4 linked regions of the Sus scrofa genome follow. The protein of the gene in region 2 interacts with the protein of the main gene of each other region in a pairwise test. Links are inferred from orthologs where the notes say so. Each region holds a gene or a part of one and is shown on either strand. Other genes may lie near its edges. The genes, in order: PEX10, PEX19, PEX11B and PEX12.

What was found.
Region 1: the proteins of PEX19 (region 2) and PEX10 interact in a two-hybrid assay, tested with the Homo sapiens proteins (4 studies listed by BioGRID and IntAct, with this or other methods). The link is inferred for Sus scrofa from reciprocal best matches to the Homo sapiens genes PEX19 and PEX10.
Region 3: the proteins of PEX19 (region 2) and PEX11B interact in binary tests that used the Homo sapiens proteins (3 or more experiments, as listed by UniProt). The link is inferred for Sus scrofa from reciprocal best matches to the Homo sapiens genes PEX19 and PEX11B.
Region 4: the proteins of PEX19 (region 2) and PEX12 interact in a two-hybrid assay, tested with the Homo sapiens proteins (4 studies listed by BioGRID and IntAct, with this or other methods). The link is inferred for Sus scrofa from reciprocal best matches to the Homo sapiens genes PEX19 and PEX12.

What each region holds. Positions count from the first base shown.
Region 1 is NC_010448.4:64,314,875-64,319,437, forward strand, and holds the start of PEX10 (peroxisome biogenesis factor 10), read right to left. Parts: upstream 2,805-4,563; 5' UTR 2,696-2,804; coding exon 2,584-2,695; intron 1,665-2,583; coding exon 1,584-1,664; intron 1,249-1,583; coding exon 842-1,248; exon of another isoform or gene 1-841.
Region 2 is NC_010446.5:90,195,452-90,199,939, forward strand, and holds the start of PEX19 (peroxisomal biogenesis factor 19), read left to right. Parts: upstream 1-1,534; 5' UTR 1,535-1,539; coding exon 1,540-1,723; intron 1,724-3,141; coding exon 3,142-3,251; exon of another isoform or gene 3,252-3,468; coding exon of another isoform or gene 3,469-3,564; intron 3,565-3,666; coding exon 3,667-3,832; intron 3,833-4,314; coding exon 4,315-4,400; intron 4,401-4,488. UniProt on the Homo sapiens protein: Necessary for early peroxisomal biogenesis. Acts both as a cytosolic chaperone and as an import receptor for peroxisomal membrane proteins (PMPs).
Region 3 is NC_010446.5:99,413,855-99,418,267, reverse strand, and holds the start of PEX11B (peroxisomal membrane protein 11B), read right to left. Parts: upstream 2,866-4,413; 5' UTR 2,815-2,865; coding exon 2,759-2,814; intron 1,969-2,758; coding exon 1,853-1,968; intron 886-1,852; coding exon 684-885; intron 1-683. Other genes in the region: GNRHR2 (gonadotropin-releasing hormone (type 2) receptor 2), read left to right, coding at 3,440-3,949. UniProt on the Homo sapiens protein: Involved in peroxisomal proliferation. May regulate peroxisome division by recruiting the dynamin-related GTPase DNM1L to the peroxisomal membrane. Promotes membrane protrusion and elongation on the peroxisomal surface.
Region 4 is NC_010454.4:39,930,279-39,934,592, reverse strand, and holds the start of PEX12 (peroxisome assembly protein 12), read right to left. Parts: upstream 2,914-4,314; 5' UTR 1,441-2,913; coding exon 1,315-1,440; intron 754-1,314; coding exon 200-753; intron 1-199. UniProt on the Homo sapiens protein: Component of a retrotranslocation channel required for peroxisome organization by mediating export of the PEX5 receptor from peroxisomes to the cytosol, thereby promoting PEX5 recycling.

The sequences.
Region 1 (4,563 bases), on a different chromosome or scaffold from region 2:
GGTCAGACTCTGCAGGTCACACTGGCTGCAGGGAGGACCGCAGGGTGAGGGGGACGGCCAGGCACCCAGACCTCGGAGGCAAACGAGCCTGAGGAGCACACCCAGTGGACAGGCGCGGGCTCAGTGTTGCAGACACGGCTGCGTGGCCCTGTCCAAGGAACAGAGCGAGGCACCACCCGGCCCCTCCTGCAGCTGAGGACACTGAGGCCACATCCTCGAGGGGGAGGGGCCTGCCCTGCACGTCCATCTCCTTGCCTTGGCTGGAAGTGGGGACAGTCAGGTCAGCCACACAGCTGGAGCCTGGAGCCTGACACCCTGACTGGATGCACCCTGTGTCTGTTGCAGCAGCTCAGCAAACACCTCAACCAACAGAGCCGGCACAGCGAGGCCTGGGGCGGGGCGCCTGCAGACCCTTGGGGAGGCCTTCAGGGTGAATCTGGAAGCAAGGGCGGCAGCTGAGACCCCGAAGGGAAGGGGCATCTGCAGGTGGAGGGTGGAGACCGGTGGGGATGCTGGCAGCAGGGTGGCCTCGTGGTTGCTGCGGGGTCACCACCGGGGTCCCTATACCTGACTCTGGCGGGCAGCCTGGAAGGGGCGTGGGAGGCAGGCCTGGCACAGAGTTCAAGCGCAGGCTGCAGGAAGACAGACCAGCCCGACCTTCAGGGTTTATGGAAAGCAGACTTCCGTGGGCCTTTTGGCAAAATGGAGCCGACACAACCCATGTTTCCCATGGAAGGTTCTGGCTCCAGGCCTGTGACTGCTCGTGGACAGAGGCCCGGAAAAGCCAGCTCCCTGCTGATGAGCCAGAACCGAGCAGGTCCAGGTGGCACCAGTTACTTACATAGGTGATGCCAGTGAACCTCTTGGCCAGGTGGTAGAAGGCACCGTGGATGTAGAACCAGGCAACGTGGAGCCGCCGGAGGCAGCCAAGGACCTGCCTGAGCATCCCCGCGGCCTGCAGAAGCGCCCTCTGCTGCTGCTCCGTCAGGGTGGCCGTCCGCCTGCGCACCCAGCGCCTTGGGGCTGACTGGCTGCGTGCAGTGGGCGCCAGGCTGCCCTGCGTGGGCCGGGTGCTGTCGCCGGCCACCTGCAGCTCGTGCTCCAAGTGGAGCAGGGCCTTGTCCAGCACGTAGGGCAGGACGGTGTGCAGAGCCACCAGGATCCCGCGGCGCAGCCTGGAGGGCACTCGGCTCTGGGACGGGTCCACCTGGACGACGCTGACGTACTCTTCCCCAAGGGTCTGGTAGCCTGTGGGGGATGGGGACCTGGCAGCAATCTCCTTCCCTCTACCACGGCCGCCCCTCCTCTAAAAGACGAGGCTCCCTCAGGGCGGGCCCCCGGGGCCATGAGTTCAGCCACAGACACACAGTCCCGGGGCCTGCATGACAGGACTCTCAGTTTCCAGGGGCCCTGGCCTGGGTTTGGGCCTGGCCTCTCATCCAGGGAAGGGGCTCTGCTTCCCTGAGGCTGGTCTGGGCCAGGGACACCAGGAAGCACCTCCAGAAGCTCCTTCCTTGGCTGGCAGCCCCTCTCCTGTCCTCTGGGTGTGTCGTGGGTCCTTCGGTCCCGCCTGGGGCTGCTACCTGCAAGTGTGGTGAGGCCGAAGTAGGCTACATCCGACACCAGCTCGAGCTCTCTCCTCCACTCCAGCCACTTCTTCGCACCTGAGAGAAGAGAGAGCCTGTTACTGAGGGCCGGGGGGTGAGGCGGTGCGCTGGTGAGAATTAGAAACAGCTCTCTCTCCTGCTGCCAGGGCCCCGCCCAGTCCCCGCTCCAATGGCTGAGACTGGTCTAAACCACACTCTGTTCTCTCCCTGGCCTTCTGTGCTGTCCACTCTGCTCCATCCATACCTGCCTCACCTGGGCCGCTGAGTGTCCTGAGAACCTACCCACCAACAGCCCTCTCCCCCTCCAGGACCCACCTGGGCAACTGTTCCAGAGCCCAGAAGGGCCACAAGGACAGACGGGGTAGTACAGTGACCAGAAGCTCAAGCTGAGCCCACCGTCCAGCATCAAATCCTAGCTCCCCACAACAATGGCAGTGACCTCAGGCAAGTTACAACATTTCCCTGTCAGTAACAGGTCCTAACTTGCAGGGATGTGTTCAGAATAAAAGAAGTTAATGTTCTGAAGCACAGAGAACAGGGTCTGACACAAAGTAAGGCAAAAAATTAGCAAAAATAAATACACAAGTGGGTGCCTCCCTGCTGACGGCCACCCAAGTCCCGAATCTACGGTCCGGCCTCGCCTCGGCTGTTCCGAGTAGCAGCCCAGCTGTGGGCCAAAATCCACCCCAGGCTTTCGTCCGTCCACTGGGCTCCACTGCCGCTGCTCAACGGGGGCCTTCGTGTGTCCCCAGAGCCGTGGACGCTCCCACAGCTGGCGCCTGATCCCCACCCCGCCCCCGGCAGCCGGGGGCGAAGACCGAGGCGCTCGCTTCTTCCTGCAGCTCAGGTCTCAGCGCGGCGCGCAGGGCCTGGCCGAGCCCGCGGTGGCCGAGCCGACGGGTTTGGGGCTCGTCCGCCCGCCTGGCCCCCCAGCCTGGCGCCCAGGACCACCCGCGGGCCCCCCCAGAGGCCTCACCCGCCAGGCTGTGCAGGGCGTCGCCCGCCGCACTCCGCAGCCCGCCGCGGTAGTAGTCGTCCTTCTGCGCCGCACGGACCACCTCCGGGGGGCTGGCGGCCGTAAGAGCCATCGCCGAGGGCTTGGAGTCGAAGGGACCTGCGGCCTCGGCGACACGGAGACGGCCACGCCCACGCGGCGGCGCCAGATGACGGCCGGGGCTCGGGCTCGGCGTGGCGCGCGGCACAGACCTTGAGCGTCACAGCGCGCGGGGCGGGGCCGAGCCGGCGGGGCGGGGCGGGGCGGGGCGGGGCGGGGCGGGGCGGGGCGGGGCGGCAGAGGCCAAAGCCGAGCCCGCCCGGCTCTGTGCCGGGTCGGGTCTGTGCGGGGCGATCGCGGCCCGGGGGAGGGCAGGCGCAGAGCAGGAGGGGCGGATAGGCGGGGCATGGGGGCGAGGGGCCATGGGGACAGCCCTCAGGTATTGCGAGGAACGTCAGAGCCGGCGCGGGCGCCCTCCCCGGTGCGGAGACAGTCGTCCGCTCTCTGGGGCAGGAAGTGAGGAGGGCGTTGCTCCCTCTCCTTGCAGTGCCCTCCGCGGGGTGCTGGCATCCCTTGTGCTCTAATCCCTGCGACCACCCCCCGCCCCCCGCGGGCTGGCGGAATAGGATCTGGGGCCCAGGGCGGGGCCAGGAGTACGGATTCTTGAACTACGGTGTTTATACTGGTGGCCCCCCAGGCCCCACAAGTGCAGACCCCTGACCTCTCTGAGCTGCTCTCATAAGTGGGACCGAGGGAGACTTGGGGGCCTTGGGAGGCCATGCACTAGGGGGGACAGAGGTAGGAGAGACTAGCACCTGGGCACAGGCACAGCTGGATTTGAGCTGCAAGGAGGACCCAGGGAGGAGCCCCGGGGGAGGACAGTGGGAGGAGGAAGTGGGGCACCCTGAGGGCTCTGGGCCTGGAGCAGGTCACAACATCTGCATCTGTGCCCCAGACCAGAGGGGTCCCAGTGAAAAAGGGCCCCGTCCTGTGGGCACAAAGGGGGGGCTGTGGGACCAGCAGGAGAGAAAAAATGCAGGTGAACCTAGGGGGTGGGGGAGTCACCAGCAGTGACTTTGGCCAGCAGGCCGTGGCTTGAGACAGGCTGCAGCTCTTGGCTTCACTTCTGCTCCTGTATCCCGGCATCAGCTGTGGGTACGTGCCCAGGCTGGTGCAGCTCAACCCCCTGGAATTGAGCTGTGGGCACAGTCTAGAGCTTATCGGGGCCCCACAGCTGTAGGCAGCTCTTAGAGGGAAGGGGCAGAAGCTGGATGGTCCCACAGTCCTTCCTGCTAATGAAGCGCCTCTGTCCCTTCAGAGTGGCACCCCTGCCTGTGGGTACACCCTGTTTCCTGAACGCAGAGGCTGCCTGCTCCTTTGGCTTCCAGCCTGGGGTGGACAGACTCACAAGCGGGGCCTGGGGGAGACACTGATGCCTCAGAAATTTCTGGTCAGTCCTCACCCAACAGGCTGAAACACACTGCTCCTTCCTGACCACAGAGACGCCCTGGCCTGTGTCCACTGGCACCAAGTTGGAGCTGGAGTATTTTTTATTTTTTATTTTTATTTGTTGGTCTTTTTTAGGTCTACGCTTGTGGCATATGGAAATTCCTAGGCTAGGGATCTACTCGGAGCTACAGGTGCCGGCCTACACCACAGCTCACGAGACACGGGATCTGAGCTGCGTCTGTGACCTACACCACAGCTCACAGCAACGCCTGATCCTTCACCCATGGAGCAAGGCCAGGGATCATACCCTCATCCTCATGGCTACTAGTTGGCTTCGTTACTGCTGAGCCACGATGCGAACTCCCTGGAGGAGGTTTTGTCCCCTTTCTCAAGATCACCAGCTGGCTCCTTCAGGAAGCCTGAGGGGTGGGCACTTCCCTGGGCACCGCACCCCACTGGCAGGTCCCAGCTCCCTGCCCAGGACAGCATCCTCCCCTGTCTTCTCACTGGCAC
Region 2 (4,488 bases):
CTTTATGGTACTTTATCCTTACTTCTTTTAAGACACTTAACCTTGCACCATACTTACTGTGTATGTCTAATCCTACCACCAGCCTAATCCCCAGTCAACTGCTTTACTGCAAGAGTGCAGCTTGACTTATCTCTCCATCCTCCACTATGCCCAGCGCAGGATTTTTTAAAATGTTTTTTATTTTTTTTGGAGTTCCCCGTCGTGGCTCAGTGATTAACGAATCCAATTAGGAACCATGAGGTTGAGGGTTCAATTCCTGGCCTCACTCAGTGGGTCAAGGATCCGGCGTTGCCATGAGCCGTGGTGTAGGTCACAGATGTGGCTCGGATCCCACCCACGTTGCTGTGGCTCTGGCGTAGGCTGGCGGCTACAGCTCTGATTAGACCCCTAGCCTGGGAACCTCCATATGCTGCGGGTGCAGCCCTAGAAAAGACAAAAAGACAAAAAAAAAAATATTTTTGCTACACCCGCAGCATGCATAAATTCCCAGGCCAGGGATTGAACCGGAGTCACAGCAGTGACAACACCAAATCTTTAACCACTAGACCACCAGGGAACTCCTAGCACAGGATCTTAAACAAGAGTAGATGCCTTGTAAGTGCTAAAATAGGTTTTCCTGAGGCAGTTGATGCATTCTGACAAATCTGAATAGAACAATTCCAGAGGAGGGAAGGGAAGTCTGGAGTTGTCTTTTATCTGAGCATCCCCCAACTTCATTGGGTTGAGTCCTGTGAAGAGAAAAGACAATAGGTCAAAGAAGGCAGGTTTATTACTACTGCATTCCAGTTGCCCTCTTCACTTAAGTCCAAGGTCCGAGAGTCACTTACTCCCTGGTTCAACTAACATTGGGTTCTAAGTTCTTGTGACATTTCTAATGGAGAATACAAAATGAGAGCTATCCACTAGATTCTGCAGAGAAGCATGCCTCACTAGAGCCTTGGAGAGCAAAGAGCAGCCAATGAGTGCCCACTAAGTTTTGGGCCCTAGCCAAGGAGCCGGGGTTACAGCAGTGAAGACAAGAGATGAAATCCTTTCTGTCATGGTGCTTTAATTCCAAGGAGCCTGGGGGAGAGACAATAAAGATAAATCAGTAAAATATGTAATATGTCAGATAGTGGTTAAGTGTTGAAAAAAAGAGGCGAAGTAGAGAGGAAGCATCTGTAAGTGTATGGGAGGGGTTGCAATTTTATTTAATGAGGCCAAAGAAGGCATTTCCGAGAAGGTGGCATTTCAGTAACATACTGAAGAAAGTGAGAGGAAAATAGCATATTGGCTGTGCCATAACTGTCTTACTGATTATACATGCATAGCTTTTAGTTTGCACGCAATTTGTCCCAGTCGACCTACCCGCAGCTCAAAAAAATAATGAAAGGCCCAATTCTGTAGGTAATGTGGGCAGTTGAAAGAAAGGAGGCCGGGCCAGTAAAAACCCTGACAGAAGATAACAGTAAATTCCCCTCTGTTGGTTCAGTGTTCCCGGAGAAAGAGGCGGGGAGAGGGGAACCCCAAACAAAAACAAAGGTTCCTGTACCTTTAAAAATGGCGGCCCCTCGGGCCAACAATATCATTGGTTGCACGAGGCAGGGGGGCAGGAACTGGGGGGCGCACGGCGCCGCGCAGTCCCGCCTCCTACGGCAAGTCGGAGGTGGCAAGATGGCCGCCGCTGGGGAGGGTGGTGGTGTTGGGGCTGAAGCGGACCGGGAATTGGAAGAGCTTCTGGAAAGTAAGAACCCGTAATAGAAAAGGCCTGAAGGGCGGGAGGTGTGAGGACGCATTCAGGGGGCCAAGTGAATCCGAGATAAAGGAGGCGGAGCGGGAGAGGCTCTTCAGAGGTTGGGCGGGGGCGGAGGGTCTGACTGCGACCCCCTAGAAAATCTCTAGGTCACCCTCTCCTTCCTCCTTGGCGGAGGCTGAGGATCGCATTTGCGTCCCTGTGCGGCCTAGACGGTTGATCTCCTTGCCGGAAGGGAAACTAGTCCAGAGGACGATGTTTCGGGATCCCGCTCCAAACTCCCCCTACTTTAGTAAGTTCTTGGAAGCCTAACTTTCTTCCCGCCAGCAACCACATTCGGTGCTCGGTGGGCAGAGAACTGGACACCCATGGGATTGCCTCCATTAACTCTTAGCAAGCCCGAAGCGTGCCTTTATGTGCAGTATCCTGTCCTCCTTAACACAAAAGACACGTCTTTTCCTTTTCCCAGACCTTTTTCGCACCAGGCTCCTTTCCAATTTTTTCATCATTTCAGAGCTCAAACCCATTCCTATCTCTTTAATTTGAGAACCAGAGTGAGACTGCCTCAGGGGAAGGCAGTTCACCCTCTCGAAAGTGGGTGGCGGAACTTTTCTTCCTTAGCCCCATCCACCACTCCTCTTTTGGTTTCTTGCCCAGAGTGGGGCCAGTGCCCTACCCCTAGGCCTGGCAAGCAGGGTGATGGTGAGGACACAGGCTTTTCAGGGAAGAGGTGAATATTTTTTGTCTCTTGCTGAGTCACAGAGATGTGAGCAGGTGGAAAGACGAACAGAAACGGTGAGAAGTGCCAGGCGACTGTGTGAATTGGCAGACACGGGTGTAGGCAGAGATGAGGCCAAAGGGAGCTCTAGGAGCTTTGGAGAGGGAGAGCTAAATTGAAAGATAAAAGAAGAGAATTCAGTGCCCTCCAATGGTGTGTAATATGGAGTCTCTCAGCTTGTACAAGGACCTATGCGAAGCTAGGTGAAACATCTTGTGGCTTCTGCTCTCTTGCCCAAGATTACTCCCTTGAGGGCTCCAGAGTGAGTTCAGAGGGTTAAGGACATCTGGTCTCTGCCTCCCTTGGATATTTGCATGGGATTTCTAGGGAATCATTAAAGTATGGCAGAGAAGGCACTGTGTCGGTGGAGGTGTCTCTGCAAATCTTTTAACTCTTCTCCTAACTCCAAGAGAGATGCTTGTTCCACCTTGAGGGATGTCTTCCCCTTTATCACATTAAATTAGACAATAGGTAGGGAAGTGGGAGGCTTATTGAGGGGTGGGCTGGGAGACTTTTAAAGGAGAAAATTTTAGGAAAGTTGACAGTTTGTACTCTTAATGTTTTGCCCAGAAACTCCCAACCTTTCATCCTCATCCATCCCCAAAACACCCCATGTTTCTTGTCTCTGAAGGTGCTCTTGATGATTTCGATAAGACCAAACCCTCCCCAGCACCCCCTCCTACCACCACGGCCCCTGATGCTTCGGGGCCTGAGAAGAGATCTCCAGGAGACACTGCCAAAGTATAAATTCCACTCGCTTAAGGGATGGGGAGGGGATGGGCATGCAGCTCTGGGCAGAGGTGGGGAAGGCCCCTGTGGGCCAAAGGGGAGTTGGGGGAGGGTGCCTTGGCCTTACATTGCAAAGTGCTCTTGCAGGCCTCAGTCCTCATGAAACAGGAACTTGAGATTGAGGGGAGGGATCTCAAGGTTAAGTTCCTTAAGAAGAGAGCAGATTTAAATGGTTGGATTGGGAATGCCACTCCATACCCTTCCCTCAGTGGCCAGATGCCTTTTTGCTGTCCTCTTTAAGAGAGGTGGTCAATGTCCAGTGGAGGTGAGTAGGAGGGGAGCACTACATTTCCTAGAGCTTCTCTCAGAGGCCATGTGCAGTGAGTTGCCAAGTAAGAGATGCATTTTGGTCACATCTCCCCTGCAGGATGCCCTCTTCGCCTCCCAAGAGAAGTTTTTCCAGGAGCTGTTCGACAGCGAGTTGGCTTCCCAAGCCACTGCAGAGTTCGAGAAGGCAATGAAAGAGTTGGCTGAGGAAGAGCCCCACCTGGTAGAGCAGTTCCAAAAGCTCTCAGAGGCTGCTGGGAGAGTGGGTGAGAAGGGGGCCCTAGACAACTAGAAATATCTGAACAAACCTCTTAGGTCATTGTTTCTTGAGAACACCAAAATTTTTTTGTAAAGTTGATAGTAATTATGATATCACTGCCATCACAACCATGTCACTGATATCACTGAAGGGAGGAGATGGGAGGAGAAATGAGACCCTGTTTAATGAAAGGGGTAGTTGGGAAATGATAGTTTGGGAAGTAACAGATGAAATTATTGACAGCTGACCATTTTAAAGGTCACAGTGTTAATGTGGGTGTCACTGTGGAGAACAGACTGACACACAGTCCACATAGATTTGTGAAAATAACTGTGGAGATAACCATAGAAAATTCAAAGATGTAGCGTGCCAGTGATTCACTAATAAATGCTCCATATTCAAGCTGGAGTATTCAAGATTGACCAGGTCAGTCTAGGCAAGCAAACAGTTGAAATCAGAAATGGCCTTGACTCTTTTTATCTCTCCTAGGCAGTGATGCGACTTCCCAACAAGAATTCACTTCTTGCCTAAAGGAGACATTAAGTGGACTAGCCAAGAATGCCACCGACCTTCAGGTGAGGGGAAAGAGATAGGGAACCACAAGGGGCCCACTCGCAGGCACTTCACCAGCAGAGTCTCAAAAGACAGACTCCCTTGAGTATC
Region 3 (4,413 bases), about 9.2 Mb from region 2:
TTCTTTCTATGTCTCTAATTCCATTAAGAACACACTGGCTTTCTTTCTATGTCTCTAATTCCATTAAGCCTTTCTTGGTTCAAGGTCTTAGAATGTGCTATATTCTGTTTGGAATGGTCTTCTCTGCTACTGTTTGCTTTGTATAACTTCTACTCAGAAATAAAATTTAATTTTCTCAAAGAGTTCTTCCTTGACCTTTTGATCTACATTAGCTCCCCTTGTTAGATACCTCATGAGATTCTACACTTTTCCACAAATATATGGTTTGGTGATTACTTGTTTTAAATAACTGACTCCCCTACTAGACTAGAAGCTTCATGAGAGCATGAACCATTCCTATTTGACTCTTTGCTTTATTATTCCCTGGCTCACAGTAAGCAGCTACTAAATATTTTTAGAATGAATGAATTAGCAGGCAGTGAGGGACATAAACTGTTTTACAGATAGAAGCCAAATTAAAGTAATATTATTAATATCTCATTTTGCCCAATCTTAGTCACCCATCATGAGAGAGCATCTGTCTTCCATCTGCTCCCATTCATGATTCTCTGATGGTTTAAGATCTAAATGAAAGATTAAGTGATTAAGATGTATATGTGCTGGGATAGATTGTTCTCTCATGAATGGTGGGCTATACAGTATGGAGAATATAAAAAGTCTTGCAGGACAAAAGCATATCAAACCTGAATGAACGCTGGGCCCACTTCTCCTGATCCACACGGGGAACAAGTCCAGACTTTCCGGCCCACAGGACATTATCGCAGGCGAAGTACAAAGCTCTATTAAGGTGACTAACAGTGATGCAGAATCTCAGGACAACATCTGATAGATGCACAGCTCGTTTGGCTGACTCAAGGGCATCTGCTGAGTTACCGAGGCGTAGAACTTGTGGGGATTAGAAAGGAAAAGCAAAAATTTGGGAGGAGAGAGGCAAACAGAGAGTGAGACAGAAAGAAAGAAAGAAAGAAAGAAAGAAAGAAAGAAAGTGAAAGTCGAGCAAGTGATAGAAACAATAATAACAATTTAAAAGAAAAGCGGAAACAGTTCATTCTTTTTTACAAGTTTTAATTAATTTCTGTGGCACTAGTTTTCTCAAATTTGCCCTGTTCTCTCCAATCCTTCATTACTCTTACCCCTGCTCTTTTATCTTACTCAGGAGACATGCAGAAGATAAGTGCAAGGGCAAATGAGGGACAATTGGAAGAAAAGGTCAAAAACAGGAAGGAAGTTCTCTTGCGGTTAAGAGGGTCAAGGATCTAGAGTTGTCACTGCAGTGGCTCTGTTCACTGCTGTGGCGTGGGTTCGATCCCTGGCCCAGGAAATTCCACATGCAAAACAAAAACAAAACACCCCAAAAAACAGGGCAGAACAAAGGAAGAATAGCTGGGGAGGGAGGAAGTGTTAAAATAATGAAAAGGCATGGAGTTCCCGTCATGGCGCAGTGGTTGGCGCATACGACTAGGAACCATGAGGTTGCGGGTTTGGTCCCTGCCCTTGCTCAGTGGGTTGACGATCTGGCGTTGCCATGAGCTGTGGTGTAGGTTGCAGACGCAGCTCGGCTCCCGCGTTGCTGTGGCTCTGGCGTAGGCTGGCAGCTACAGCTCCGATTGGACCCCCAGCCTGGGAGCAGCCCAAGAAATGGCAAAAAGGCAAAAAAAAAAAAAAAAGAAAAAAAAGAAATAAAATAATGAAAGGACAGGAACAGCTTTTTTTGTTTCTTTTTCTATTTTTAAGCTGCCCAGGAGGATGGAGAGGTCCCTGGGCCAGGGACTGAACCTGCACCACTGAAATGACAAAGCAGAACCCTTAACCACCACGCCACCAGGGAACTCCAAGAGGCATGGTTACTTACGCTTTCTTCCTAGGCTCAGATGACCCTCCAGCTGTCGAATCTGTTTCTGTAACTCAGGACTGGCCCCATGTTTCTGTAGGGCATGGCCAAGAAGGGAGCAAGCATATTGGGCGGCCCTGGAGGAGAGAGTGAGCGGTAATGTAAGGTGGAGACCTCCCTAATCTCCCCCTCAAAAACGTCCTCCTAAAGGCAAGTCTGGATTCCCCCTTTTTCCAATTTGAGACTACTCCCTTTCCTCCTCAAGCTCTATCTCCAGGCAGGGGAAAAGAAAGGCATAAGGATAAAAAGGAGCCTCGAAGAGTTTGGGTAGCACTACTTAGAATTGAGAAAATAAGAGATTTGACTACATGAGGCCCGAAGAGGACAAGGTGGCAAGGCGTCCATCACAAGCACTTCTAGTGTGAACATGTGTGTGTCCACGTGAGGGAGTGGGGGATAGCTGGAGGGGAAATTCTTCAGAAAGGTGAACTGAGAGATTTCCAAGGCTCTTGAGGGGAATCGAGACTAGAAGGCAGGACGGAGGCAGAAGAGTTCGCGGGTCAGTAGGATGAGGGGACACGGAAACTTCGGAGCGACTGGTCAGCTCTGGGGACAGAGTTCAGGTCGCTATCAACCACGGGGCGGATGCTCCTCACGCCACCACCACCCGGCGAGGGAAGTATTAGTCTCATGTGAACGCGCATCCCTGAGCGACCTCCCCGCTGGCCCACTCGTGCCTCAGTTTTCCCATCTTTCCCGTGAGCAAAAACGAATCACGGCCTCACGGCTGGTTCAAATCAACCCCTCGCGGTCCGTCCGGGCCCCCGTAGCCCAAGATGACCCTTTTTGACCCCCGTAGTGTGAACTGTCCTCGCTTCACGAGGACCTTCCTCTGCCCGCCCTCCCCCATTCCTGTTCGGGCCGCACCTACACAGCCGCTCCCGGGCCTGGCTCTGAGCGCTGAAGCGGACCCAGGCGTCCATGACAGCGGCGGCCCCGGCTCCGCAGCCCCACCCCCGCCCACTTCCCGCCCCTAGTCACGCCTACCGGACGGCCCAACGGTGTCGCGCAAGGGACAAACATCGTCAAAAAGAAATTTGAACGGAGCCAGCCACAGAAGCGGAGTTTCGGAACTAGAAGCACTTGTCTCTGGGCCTACACCTGCGTGTTTTTGTGGGTGCCTCCGTTAGCTCGCCTTCTTATCAGCTGATCTCTATTTCCTAAGTACGCCTCCAGAGGCACATTCTTCTTTAAACATTCGAGGCCAAGGGCGGGGCTTGCAGGATGGGGGGCGGAGCGAGAAGGTGCCGCAGTGCTCTTGCCGCGGCCGCTAGGATAAGGTTTCCCCTAATTTAGGATGCCCTAGGGGCTTGAGAAGTCTGTGGAAGTAAAAGCCAGCACCAGATCCCTGTTCCCTGCAGGATTCTAACACTTGGACCGATGACCTCCAGAATACATACGGAGAATCTCCAGATTCAGAGGCTTTAGTGGACTAAGTTCGCGAAATAACCAACTCCAGATCCTGAAAAGGAAAGAAGAATGAGTGGATTCAGCTAACCTCTTCAAACCCACACTTCATCCCCCCATCCCTTTCCCTTCCATGTCACCATGTCTGCAGGCAATGGCACCCCTTTGGGGTCAGCAGTGGGGGAAGAGGTCTGGGCGGGATCAGGAGTAGAGGTGGAGAGCTCAGAGCTACCCACCTTCTCAGTTGCAGCTAAGGTCCGGGTTGGAGTGACCGTTGTGCTATTTGTTTCTTCGGCTGGAGGAAACCTGGCCGTACTGTGGTCGGTGACACGGCCGCAACCCAGCCAGCTCCGCCCCTCTCCGGTACGACGACTTTTTGCTCATTTAGCAGCTGCCGATTTACTGGTTACTTTTGTGGTTATGCCCCTAGATGCCTCCTGGAATATCACTGTTCAGTGGCTGGCCGGGGACATCGCATGTCGAACACTCATGTTCCTGAAACTAATGGCCATGTATGCCGCAGCTTTCCTGCCTGTGGTCATTGGGCTCGACCGCCAGGCAGCCGTACTACACCCGCTTGGACCCCGCTCAGCTGGAAGGAAACTTCTGGGGGCAGCCTGGCTACTCAGTTTCCTTCTTGCCTTGCCTCAGGTGAGTAACTTGTCGGGACTCAGGGCTACACCGGACAAGAATTTGGGTGCACCACATGAGCCTTCAGATTCAAGGAGCGTGCTTGGCCGTGGTCACCATTAATCCTCAACGGAGAGACTCTGCTATCTCTTCCGCAAGTTAAGATCATTAATTTGTATTTTCTGCTACAAGCCTTTATTTTTACTACAGTTGGCTTCCATTTTTTTGTATCCTCCTAATCCCACCTTCTCCGCTTTCTTTGGATTATTGCAAAAAAAATTCTAGGGCATGGAGGAAACATACATGGGAAGACATTAAGAAGACAGTGAAATCAGGGGCTTTGGGTAAAACTTTGCGGTACCTTCATTCATCAGTTCAAAAAAATAATGTGCATCCTCCAGGTGCATTCAAATGCTCTATCAAGCATAGAGCAACAAAGTCCTGCCTTCAAGAAATGTATAGATTAGTGCAGGGTCAAATTAGTA
Region 4 (4,314 bases), on a different chromosome or scaffold from region 2:
TTTAGCGAGTGTGGACAAACATGTAGCCAGTATGAGGAAGGTTACCGGGATGACAGTCCTTGTTTTATGGACACAAGAATTTTTTTCTCTGATTTTATGAAATACCTCCACGTGGACTGAGAGAGGTGAGTTTCATAAAATTTGGATAAGCTTTTAGAATTTATCAATCAAAGATTTGGGGGAAATGTTAAGGTCTTACCTCCCAGCAGGTTGCTGCATCATGCTGGCTTCAGCTGGTTTGTGCTCCAGAGCTTGTATATCATGAACTGTAAGCCTCCCAAGGCGAACTCCAGCCAGACTCAGCAGTGGTGAGTGATGCTGAGCCTTTCCTAGGATGTACTGAAGCTGTTGTACTAGAAACCAGCCTTCCCAGGCCATGTTAACAAATGGGTAGGCTGCCAGGAAGGCTCTGTAAAATTGCTTCCAGCGGGAAGAAGGGGGATGGATGGAATATTCATCCTCTTCTCTCAGGCTGGAAACTAGCTTCTCCAGCTTCACTTTCAGATAGGGAAGAAGAACCAGGAACATAATTGACTTCCAGAGCTGCCTCTTTGGGAGACCAGCACTGGCCAATCTCTGAAGCTTCTGTGTGTCTCCCATTACAATCCTCTTTAAGCCATAAAAGTTTTCAGAAAACGAGGCACTGGTTTTAGACAGATAATGCTGCTGGAGCAAAAGATCCAGCACGGTAAAAATTTCATCAAACCATCTCCAAAAGAAGCCATAGTGGGCAGGATTTGATTCTGCAAGAACCTAAAGCAAAATAAATAAACGAAATTTAATTACACATATACTATGCCTTGTATTTATAATTCCTTTTTTTTCCCCTCTAAATTCTATTTTAAGCTTCCTTAAGTGCTGGGTATTGAGTACACACAACACTCAACACAAAACAGAGACCCGAGTAACAGTTAAATCATAGGATATGAATTATATGCAAACTGGTTATTTCAAAACTTAGGCCAACAGGAGTTCCTGTGCTGGCGCAGTGGTTAACGAATCCGACTAGGAACCATGAGGTTGCAGGTTCGATCCCTGGCCTTGCTCAGTGGTTAAGGATCCGGCATTGCCGTGAGCTGTGGTGTTGATCACAGACGCTGCTCGGAATCCTGCATTGCTGTGGCTGTGGCTAGGCCGGTGGCTACAGCTCTGATTAGACCCCTAGCCTGGGAACTTCCATGTGCCACGGGAATCAGCCCTAGAAAAGGCAAAAAGACAAAACAAAAAAAACTTAGGCCAACAAATACATTCAAAAATGTTGGTTTAGTTTTTACCCAGACATCTCTAAAACGTTTCAGGGAATTAAATCCTTACCTTGACCACATGCTGAAGAGCAGGTCTCACTGCTGTCATTAAACTTTCCTGGGCTACCACTTCAAAGATGGATGGCTGGTCATCCACTACAGAAGCAGTTGTGATGTGAGCCCCATGTTCAGCCATAGTTTCCTGTGTGCACTGGGTTTTGCTTTGCACACAAACTCCCTAGCAAGCATGAACTTTTGGGGAGTATCAGATGGTGTCAGTTTTGAAGATAACTTTCTGCAGGATACCCCCTTAATTTTACAAGAACTAGGCAAAAAAAGACCTTTTCCGGAGGCAGAGGGGAGGGGTTCTTGGGTGAAGGAGGTTAAGAACCAAGTTGACGCAGACGCGGGTGGCAGTGGCGAGTGGGAGGGGGTGACTTGATTAATGCTGCACCTCACAGGGTAGAGCGTGTGACAGAGGGGGACAGGTACGGGCGAAGGAGCGCTGAACTCTCGAGCCGCAGTCCTGGAAGCTGTCAATCATAGACTTCAATCTTAAAGGCTCCAAAAGCCAGGCGGCTCTGAGGGTCCGCTCGGTCAGGCTCAGTTGTGAGCAGTGCAGCCCCCCCGCCTGTTCCCGTCCTAGCGCGCTGACTCCTGCGAAGCGCCAGAGACCCGCGACACAGCGTTTGAAAGCAGGTCTCCGCTTTATGACAGAAGCCGCAACCGGAAATAGACCACGGGGCTTGGAGAAGGCTGGCGGAGGCGAGGCGAGGCGCTCTAGCCCGGAATGCGACCGCGAGACCGGAACTAGAGATCTCTATGGCCTCACTGGGACTTCCGCTTCCGCCTCCTGCTGAAAGTAAAGAAGGCGCTAGGGGTTTTGCTTGCAGAGCCGTTCTCCGCTGGTTGGTTTTACTTTTCCTAGTTGTTTTTGTTTTGCCGCCTCATGGGAAAGTTACGGTTCCGATCTCTCTCTGCAGAGTCTTTTTAGCAGGGTGTTGAGGGCGCCGCACCAACGTTTGGCGGCTGGAGCCAGAACTCAGCCCACAGAGGCGTTTGTTACCTGGGGCGATCGAGTTTAGGAGTCGAGGGACGCAAGGGAATGTGAAGATGGAAGGCTCTCGCTGTACTCGTGGCGAGGGTGGTGGTTCACCGTTTTCTGCTGCCTTAGGGGAGGATTTGAAGCGACATAATTGGAGATAGAAGCCTTAGCTTTATGGTCGCCAATTGCTATTTAAAGAAAAAAAAATGATTAGGATGAGAAGAGATCTTTTGTTACTCACAAGTTGGGACGAGTCTTCTAGATTAGGTTCTTTCAAGCATAACTGTAAGCACTTGGTACGCTAGTTCAAACTGGTTCCTACGCTCGTACACAGTCGACTGTGTTACCTTAGCGATATGAATATTGGGTACGAATCAGATGAATTCTAACTAGCGTGAACTGGGGAGGCTTGACAGAGAAGATAGTTTTCGTTGTTTGTATACCAGAAGGAATGTAATTAACCTTAGGATTTGCAACGTACTTTTACATCGTATGCAATTGCCTTGGTTGAGTTGCTGCTGCAGGTTTAATTTATATGAAGTTAGAGTTCATCTCCTTCTCTCTCCAACGCCCCCTCCCCCCCCCCAAATAACCAGAAATAGAAGGTGATTTGTTTTGTTTTGTTTTGTTTCAGGGTGGCACCCAGGGCACATAGAGATTCCCAGGCTAGTTGTTGAATTGGAGCCGTCGCCACTGGCCTACGTGGCAGCCACGCAACACCAGATCTGAGCTGCATTTTGGACCTACACCGCAGCTCAGGGCAACACCGGATCCTTAACCCACTGAGGAAGGCTAGGCATCAAATATGTGTCCTCATGGTTACTGGTCAGATTTGTTTCCGCGGAGCCACAATGGGAACTCCATAGGAGGTTATTAGTTACTGCCTTAGAGGACCTTATAAAGGTAGTTAATTGTTTCACAGAATGAGAATGGTGGAAAACAAAGTTTATTATCCAAAGAGGAGAAATAAAATCTTGCAAGTTAACCTTGATTTTAGTTCTACAAAGTGTTTTATATTCTGCTAAAACGCCTGCAGGAGAAAGTCACGTTAATGTAAGAGTTTTACCTTATAGAGGTTTTTTTTGTTTTTTGTTTTTTCTTTTTAGGGCTATACCAGTGGCATATAGAAATTCCCAGGCTAGGGGTCAAATCAGAACTACAGCTGCCAGCCTACACCACAGCCACAGCAACGTGGAATCCCAGCCATGTCTGTGACCTACACCACAGGTCATGGCAATGCCAGATCCCCGACCCTCTGAGCAAGGCCAGGGATGGAACCCACATCCTCATGGATACTAGTTGGATTCATTTCTGCTGTGACACAAGGGGAACACCTTACAGAGTTTTAAGGACTGGAGTAATGTATAAAGCACTTGGCATTAGATATGTGATCAAAGGTAGCTGTTACAAATGGGCTTTTCTTAAGTAACAGCAAAAAGACAAAGCTGAGAAATAGCATCAACTAAGATGAATGGGAAGTTAGTTAAACTTGTATCAGTTATGGTTTTTGGCTACAAGCAACAGAAAACAGCTAATTTAAACTAAAAAAATTATCGGAAGAATATGGAGTAGCTAACAAAATAAGGAAAGCCAACTCTGAAAGTACAGTAATTATACAGCCCTACTGGATGTTTCTCGCAAGAATTAGCAAAGTCTCATCTAGGCATCATTGTTGCCGTGAATGAGGTTCAACAAATTTCTTTCTGTCCCTGTACTTACAATTCAGATTCCTTGTGACCTACCTTGGTTCGGATTTCCTCACCACTCCCTGTTTCACTCTTAGACAAAAGATGGCAAGACAACTTAATAGCCCATTGAGACTATTCCAAAAATAAACTGACATTATCACATGAGAAAAGGGAAAGGCAGTTAAAAAAAAAAAAGTCAATTACTACAGCCAACAAAAAATAAACACCTAATCATAGATCCCACTCTTAGGTTTATGATGTAATAAATAAGACCCCAAAATTGATTGCATTTAAAGTTATTAAGAGTCATCAGGTTCAATATGGTGTGAATTTAATG